Kluyveromyces lactis: one gene and its partner. The protein of the gene in region 1 binds, or shares a complex with, the protein of each later gene. Links are inferred from orthologs where the notes say so. Each region holds a gene or a part of one and is shown on either strand. Other genes may lie near its edges. The genes, in order: SSN2 and SSN8.

What was found.
Region 2: the proteins of SSN2 (region 1) and SSN8 are in contact, whole or in part, in a cryo-EM structure (PDB 7KPV), measured with the Saccharomyces cerevisiae proteins. The link is inferred for Kluyveromyces lactis from reciprocal best matches to the Saccharomyces cerevisiae genes SSN2 and SSN8. Residues at the interface, in NP_010731.3 of Saccharomyces cerevisiae: His1109, Leu1111, Pro1112, Val1115, Phe1117, Arg1118, Thr1119, Met1120, Lys1208, Phe1210; in NP_014373.3 of Saccharomyces cerevisiae: Lys18, Ala19, Ala22, Leu283, Glu284, Met287, Ile290, Gln291, Ile294, Asp298.

The regions. Positions count from the first base shown.
Region 1 is NC_006038.1:107,447-112,077, reverse strand, and holds the start of SSN2 (Ssn2p), read left to right. Parts: upstream 1-1,694; coding exon 1,695-4,631. Other genes in the region: KLLA0_B01375g (putative hydrolase), read right to left, coding at 1-1,369. UniProt on the Saccharomyces cerevisiae protein: Component of the SRB8-11 complex. The SRB8-11 complex is a regulatory module of the Mediator complex which is itself involved in regulation of basal and activated RNA polymerase II-dependent transcription.
Region 2 is NC_006041.1:737,177-740,304, reverse strand, and holds SSN8 (cyclin-dependent protein serine/threonine kinase regulator SSN8), read left to right. Parts: upstream 1-1,579; coding exon 1,580-2,494; downstream 2,495-3,128. Other genes in the region: ICE2 (Ice2p), read left to right, coding at 1-92. UniProt on the Saccharomyces cerevisiae protein: Component of the SRB8-11 complex. The SRB8-11 complex is a regulatory module of the Mediator complex which is itself involved in regulation of basal and activated RNA polymerase II-dependent transcription.

The DNA of each region.
Region 1 (4,631 bases):
GAATTTCCCCCAAAGATGACCCTTTCTGTTCTTCAACTCCCTCCTCAGATTGGGCATTGTTTTCGCTCCTCACCTGTTGCACATCACTTAAACCTCTCCAATCAAGATATAGTAAAGCAGCCGTCCTTAGAGGCACTATACCATCAAATGCGACATTAGCATACACGGTTCTACACTTGAATCGTTGGAAAACTTCTAACGCCGGATGTTTAGGTAAAAGCTCTAATATGGGTTTAGATTTGATTCTATCATGTGATCCATCATTATTTACAATACCTTTTGATGGCAGAAAATAGCTGCGCTTCAATGTGAGATCCCTTCCAGTCTGTCCCAAAGCGCCAATGTCCAGCACGATAGATATGTATTTGGGCAAATCTCCAATGACTCCGAGGAATGGGCTCGCCGCCGCCACAAAATTGACGGGTGTCAAGCCTGTGGTCTTGTCAAATATGTCTGGTCGTTCGACAGAGATATAGTGAATGGCCATAGCTTGCACGGGTCCTCCCAAAGAGTGACCTACAAATGAGATTCTTGTTAAGGTGAATTGCTGTTGAAGTTTATCGATGGTATCGATTATATATTCTGCCAACTTGAATCCTAGATGCCGTATACCTTTATGAGACTTCCCGACGTTTCCAGGATACCCTCTTATTACAAGATTGCCATTATTATCATCTGGCAAAAAGTTCGACGCTCGTTCAATGGTGTCTTTTAAGCAAAGCATATCTCCGCCAATAGAAGAGAAGATGCCATGTGTAATAATTACGAGATGAACTGGCTTATCTGGAAATGGCGGAGGTAAATTCCACAACTGTTCAGTGTCAAGTTTGGAAATTTTCAACCCATCAGTCTGCTGAACTTCTATATTCTTGTCTTTCTGGGAATGTTTAGCAGTTTTGTATGTTGTAGCTAGCGTGAAGACGAATGGAAGCCTTACAATGGTAACGACAGTGAACTGGGCAATAAGGTCAATCTTCCAAGCATAACAAGAAGTACCGTCAACTCGAGCATTAGAATTGAGATAAAGTTTCGCTTTGAAATTCTCATCAGGCTTGAGGTCACTCATGAACTCAATTCCATCTCCTATGAATTGCTTTCTCTCGTCATAATTGTTCGGCGTTATTTCAACATAAATTGAGTATGGTCCAGTTATCCATAACGGCCTCAAAAGCGCGCTCTCCTGGTTTTTGAATTCGAGATAGAGAGTATCGTCAGTACACTCAATTCCGTCAGATAGTAGCTTATTTTTATCTACAATTATCTTATAGCGATTGACATCCCCGATACCAAGTGACCCTGTTTCCCTTAAAAGCAGAATACCACTATCTGATGACTCAGTGTCGTTCTCTTCAGTCAGTTTTATTGCCATCTTGGCATACGCCAACCACTGTTAGCAGAAGTACAGGTTATACTGCGTTTCCAATTGAGAGTGCGCCGCTAATCACGGGGGGTGCGTTTAGCTTTATGCTTTGGTACCTGTCATTCATTGTTTTGTATTGGCAATCTTTTTTGTTTTTGTTTTATAATGATCAAGCGATTCATTATTATAAGTAGTGATAACTCGAGATAAAATCGTATAATTTTAAAAGAAGGTAACTAGACAGCATCTCTTAACAAGTACGGATTTTTGAAGTACCGTTGCATCCTAATCAGTCTGACTATCCAGCTTACTTTTCATCAGAGCAACGGAAACCATGAAAAAGGAGGTTGGGGACGCATGTCGATTGGAGGACATCGTTACCAATTTATACAGGTTAGAAACTGTCAAACAAATAAACTATCACCAATATGTACCTAGCAAGGCAGATAATCAATGGTCAATTCAAGCAGAGTTGTTCCTAAGGAGGAAAAACCCCAAAGTACTTGCAGCTCTTTTTTCCAGGGAGTTATGGTGTTTTAGTATTAACGATGATCCATTACCAGAGTTAAACCTTGAGCTGAATAACGAATCGGAGTCACCCCAGCCAGAGCGGAAGGGTCACTTCACCCCAGAATTCTCAAAACCTCACTTGCCTACCCCATATGCCATCTTTATGAAGGCTCTCAGGCGTATGATATATGTCAATTTGACCCTATCCTCCAATGAAACCATCGTGCCCTTTGGAAACTCATGCATATTTCAGGAATCATATACCTTTTCGACCAAAATCTTACACTTTGATCCACATCTATTTGAAAATGGAGATTTGACTGTTGCAATTTGTTCCAAGGATTTGGGTTTATCGAAGTTGAATGCAGAGAGCCTCAAACATGAAGTGGCTGTGTATTTGGCTCCATCTGGGATCAGAGTGTATTTACCATCCACAGATTTAAAGAAATGTTATGTATCACCACCCAAAAACGCTCAAATGTTTCTCAAGACACTATTTGTCTCCCATGGAATAAATTTAATCGATGTCGACGGTTTGAAATGGGTAAAGCTTATTCCAAATGCTAACCATTTGAATGGCTTCACTCCAACAATATCACATTATCTTGACGAACCAAAAGGAAATAATTTCGTTATCTGGCCGGCATGTCTCTGTTTTGTACAAACAGCATCTGACGTTCAAACTCCTCAATATACTGCATTTTCAAGATCCCCGCAGCTTGAGTTAGATGATTGTTTCGATATGATAGATGGATTTATACAGTTAAAACTCACTTCGGCCTACAGAACGCCTGGAACATCTGCAGGGATGGGAACTGTAACCGGACATAACCCATTAAGTACGGGAGGAATATTTACTGATCAGTTTCAAGGGTTTAATAAGCATTCGGCCAATAACAGCAATAACGTATCTTCAACGGGAGAGAATGGTAAGTTTTCTCCGGAATACTCTAATGATCCAAACGTAACACCTCTGCGAGATAATAAAACTAGTAGACAGAATTTCCCCACAGAGAGTTACAGCAGTAATGGTTTCATTACAACTCCAATAATAAATGAGAATATCACTCCAACCGTTGATGATATTATAACAGAAACTCCTTCCGTAAAACCTCAGAACGATCTTTGGAATGAGAAAAAGGATGTAATAAATAGTACATCCAATATCAACTCAAAGGACGCATCAGTAGGTAGTTCTGAGCGTAAAGTAGAACTGGAAACCGCTTTTGAATCTCCCGCTCAGAATATTTCGATAGAGGAACACGAGCATGTAGAATTCGACAAAGATCTTTTTGGTGAAGATAGCGACGAAGATGTCAGTACGCGAAATAAGAACGAAGAACTGGTATCTGTAAAAGAGATTACTGACGAAATGTTTGATCTAGCCGAAGATGACGATGAGGCTGACGGATCAACTAGTAACTCGTTAAAGTTTGATCGTCCCGACACCATCGAGTCTATTGATACTGACGAAAAGAAGACAAGAACAAAGCGTACCTATTTGGACATACCAGTGGATGTCATTACTATAGAAAAGACACCTACATTATACGAAGATCCAGGAGCACCTTTGCCTATTGAAACCCCAAAAGACAGAAAGAAAAGTATATTCGCACCACTCAATTTCAACCCCATCTTTGAAAGTAATGTGGATAACAAGTACAAGAATGGAGGTAAGTTTTCTGTTAACTCGAACACCAATGACGAACCAATACAATTTGGGATAAGTACAAGTAATATATCAAGCTCAGAAGATGATGATAGCGATTTTTCTCCTGCTGATTTCAACAATAATGGACCATCTGCAGGAAAGGGCTTATCATATGATCCAAGAGACAATGATATACCAATGATCGAGTCATCAACATACGAACCTATTGCAAAGGACTCTCTTCCCGAATTGATAAACCCACCATCTTCTTCCAAAGATGATTCTGTGGCATCTTATAATACGATCGGAACTCTAATGGAAAAACCTGTTAAGTCCAACTTAGACGCAATATGGAAGCCCGCCTTAAGTAAATCAGAAAGAGCTGATCTACCAAACCAGACAATTAATGGGGTCATAAACGACTGCAATAACAGCTCAAACTCAAATCCCACAACTTACTTTGAGAATACGCCTTCTCTCGGACCGGATACTCTATATGATAATTCAAAACCAAGAAGTTCATCAGCTAACTTTCTTTCCACGGTTGAAATCGACCCCAAAAGCGAACAAACTATTCAAACCGCAGAGCAAGAACAATCTGAATCATCTAGAATTCTCCCCTACCTTTTGAGACACATGCCTTTGTTCTCGTTGCCTGACGTGTTCCTTTGTCAGAATCCATCTTTGCCGCCCGGAAAAGACTTCGAGGATATTCTAGAGATTTTGACAGATCAGATAGTCTTCAATAATGATATGTTTTCTGATGATAGGGCAACAGAATCTCAGTTTAAAGGGATCAAGGATTGCTCCGTTGGCACCATCAGCGATACCATGAACCAGCTTTTTGGGAATTTTTCAAAGCTTCACGGAAACGAAATAATAGAGGAAGTCTTCTATTTGCCTGAACCATCAGTGTTTGTGAAGAAATCTGAAGATACAATTAAAATAAAAAGCTCATCGTGTTATTTCACGGAATATTTAAATCTGAAACCCAACCGTGGGGTAAAAAATTTCAGGGCCCTAGTGCTAACCACTGAGGCAAAAAATGATTGCATGTCTTTCGTATCACAAATGTCTCAGACATATTCGAATCATGAGTTAGGGTTCTGT
Region 2 (3,128 bases), on another chromosome or scaffold:
TCGTGGTTGATTCATGGTCCTTTTGGAATTGGTGCAACATTTATTCAACCATGTTGATTTATGCATTAGAACTTATGGGTAGTAACAAGTAGAAAACCATCTGATGATCAGTTCACGATCAGAAATAAAAAGCCTCTTTTACTCCAGGGCAGAAATAGAAGATAGCTATGTAACATTAGAGGTGAGCAGCTTGAGACAAAGTTAGATATGGATAGGAAGATCACTTTTTGTGCCACGTTATGTAGTTCAGCTGATAGATAGAAATGGTAGGTAGTAGTTCCGTAAATGGAAAGCAAAGAAATACAAGAGATACTTACTCGATGGGAAAACCACACTAACAAGTAGATGATTCTAGTACTACACATGTTTACAACTCATAGCAAATGGTTAGCCGGACTCATACTAGATGGTGCGGTGCTAACAGCGTTCAAGAAAAAATCAAAACAGAGAAGATACATACAGTACTACTCTAGACCGCAGTCAATAACTCTTCTTTATCATCAAGGAAATTTGATCAGTACGTTTGTAAAAAGCAAGTCTCGTCCATGCTATATAAGCTCAGAGCTTGACTCTATGTTGCATTGTTATTTCATCACGTTAAAAATCCTAAAATGAAGAGGGAAAGATGACGGCTGGATCTTTTGAAATTCTTCCTTGTAGCACTTGATATGAGAGGATACTCAACTGAGTATAATCCAAGGCAATAAATGATACAATAATAAATAATCAGGGCAGCTTGGCATATTTGACTATGCGTAAGTATCGAAAAGTTCAAAATAAATTTGAAACGAATCCACTTCAAGCTGTTTGATGATTGAAAAAAGGATGGAGAGTTTCGTGAGCCGAGAAAGTAAGCTCCATTGGGTTACCCAAGCTACCTCCTCCCTAATCACCCCTGTAAACAGAAGTAACAAAAAAAGAGATAAAAACGCTCGGGCAATCGTCATAACTTTCGTTTAAAGTAAAGAAATACTTCAGTACCCAAGACACAGAGGCTTCTAAAACAGCCTCTGGATAGAAACCGTGACAGAAAACCAACACGATTAATGAGTTGATTTAAACATTTGAAAAGTTTTTAAATCTCATTACGTTTCCGCTTACGGACTGGTCGGAGACTTTCTACCCAAAGCTATAGAAATGATATCATTTCAATTGAACAGATAAAATCCGTTCCTTATGTAAGCTTCGATCAGTGACGATTCTTCGACTACAAAACCCTCGACTTACGAAACAAACAACAACAAAAGACAACACTAGAAAACATTTAATTAAAAGTAAGTGTTTGAAGTGCTGATGTTTGGTTCATATAGTTGAATGTTTAACTTTTTTCCAAAAAATTTTCAAAAAGGTTACCCGACTTCTTAACGACCTGAAATTTAGGGCTGCAACGGTCAGCTTATCATAATGTACTTGATGATGAATTGAAGAATAGCGAACGGTAAGGTAGTAAGAACCGAATCGGGTTAGGTACTTTGAACAAAGGATTCCGACAACAAAAGGCAGTACAAATTTCACTGGAGGATAAAAAATACCTTTCCCCCCCTTATTCATTGAACAGCTAGAAGATTATCTTTCCAAAATGAGCGCCTCATACTGGGATTCGAGTCAGAGGCACAAGTGGAAGTATACTAGGGAATCCTTGGCTAAGGAGAAGCAGAAACTCTGGCTGTTGGAATGCCAATTATTCCCACAAGGTTTGAATGTTACGATTCACGATTCGAAGGCGAACAAGCAGGTGACGACAAACATTCCGGTTACACAGCGAGATCTGCATTATGATCGAGACTACAATTTGAGGATATACTGCTATTTCCTTATAATGAAGTTGGGCAGGAGGCTCAATATACGGCAGTGTGCACTTGTTACAGCACATGTTTATTTGAGCCGATTTTTGCTTCGAGCTAGTGTCAGGGAAGTGAACCTGTATCTTTTAATCACCACCTGCATCTATTTGGCTTGCAAAGTGGAAGAATGTCCGCAGCATATAAGAACGCTAGTCAACGAGGCGAGGTCTCTATGGCCAGAGTTTATTCCACCGGATGTGACAAAAGTGACCGAGTTTGAGTTTTATTTAATCGAGGAATTGCAATCATATTTGATTGTACACCATCCGTACCGGTCTCTAGAACAGATCGAGAAGGCATTATCATCCGAAAAGTACAACTATAAACTCTCAGACGATGAGCTTCAGAAAATATGGTCGTTGATTAACGATAGTTATACGACCGATGTCCATTTACTCTATTCACCGCACGTGATCGCCATAAGTTGTCTATTTGCAGTGTCTTGCATCATTCACAAGCCAGAGGACAGTACAAAGCGTGCTAACATCAACATGTTCATCGCTGAAACTCAAGTTAATTTGGAACAAGTGATGTTTATCCTTCAAGAACTCATATCACTATACGACCATTGGGACAAATACAATGAACTGCGGATCAGAGCGCTCCTACACGAGTTATACCTCCGTCAACAAACACCAGCAATTCAGTGATTCTGAAGCCGAAAAGATTTCGTTCAGTTCACACCTGTACATACATAACAAATTACGTAGCATTCAAGATCAACCACGCATCAAGGATATATCGCATAAGAACGAAATGAAATTATATTGGACAACTCACGGAAGAATCACAGAAATGCAGACACTGAGAAATATACACATTGTACGCACAAAAAAAATTTAGTTCGCAATCACAGTCAACTAGAGGACAAGTAGAAGCCTCACTCCAAGAGCTGCATTTGCAACTTCTATTTCTCTTTAACACCAAAAATATCTTTGGCGAAGCGATATCTGCCAAATAATCTAGAGCTATTCATGCGCAGAAAAGAAAAAAAAAAGTGAACGAACGGCAATATGATTTCGAGAGTTAAACATGAAACTCGAAATCAAATCTTAACTAACAATGTTAACGTGTATTTATAAAGAGTAGAAGTAGGAAAAGTGGAAGCACAAGTTCAAAAGAAAGCGAGTCCAAAAGTTTAGTGAAGCAGAAGCAGAGTGTCTGTCATTTCATTATTCTGTGAGGTTCCCGCATTGTATATTAGTTAGGATACCATCTCGGGAATTTTTTTTTGTTTGCCAAGAGTGTTGATATTTGCATCACTATTATCAACTCTGGCAATTG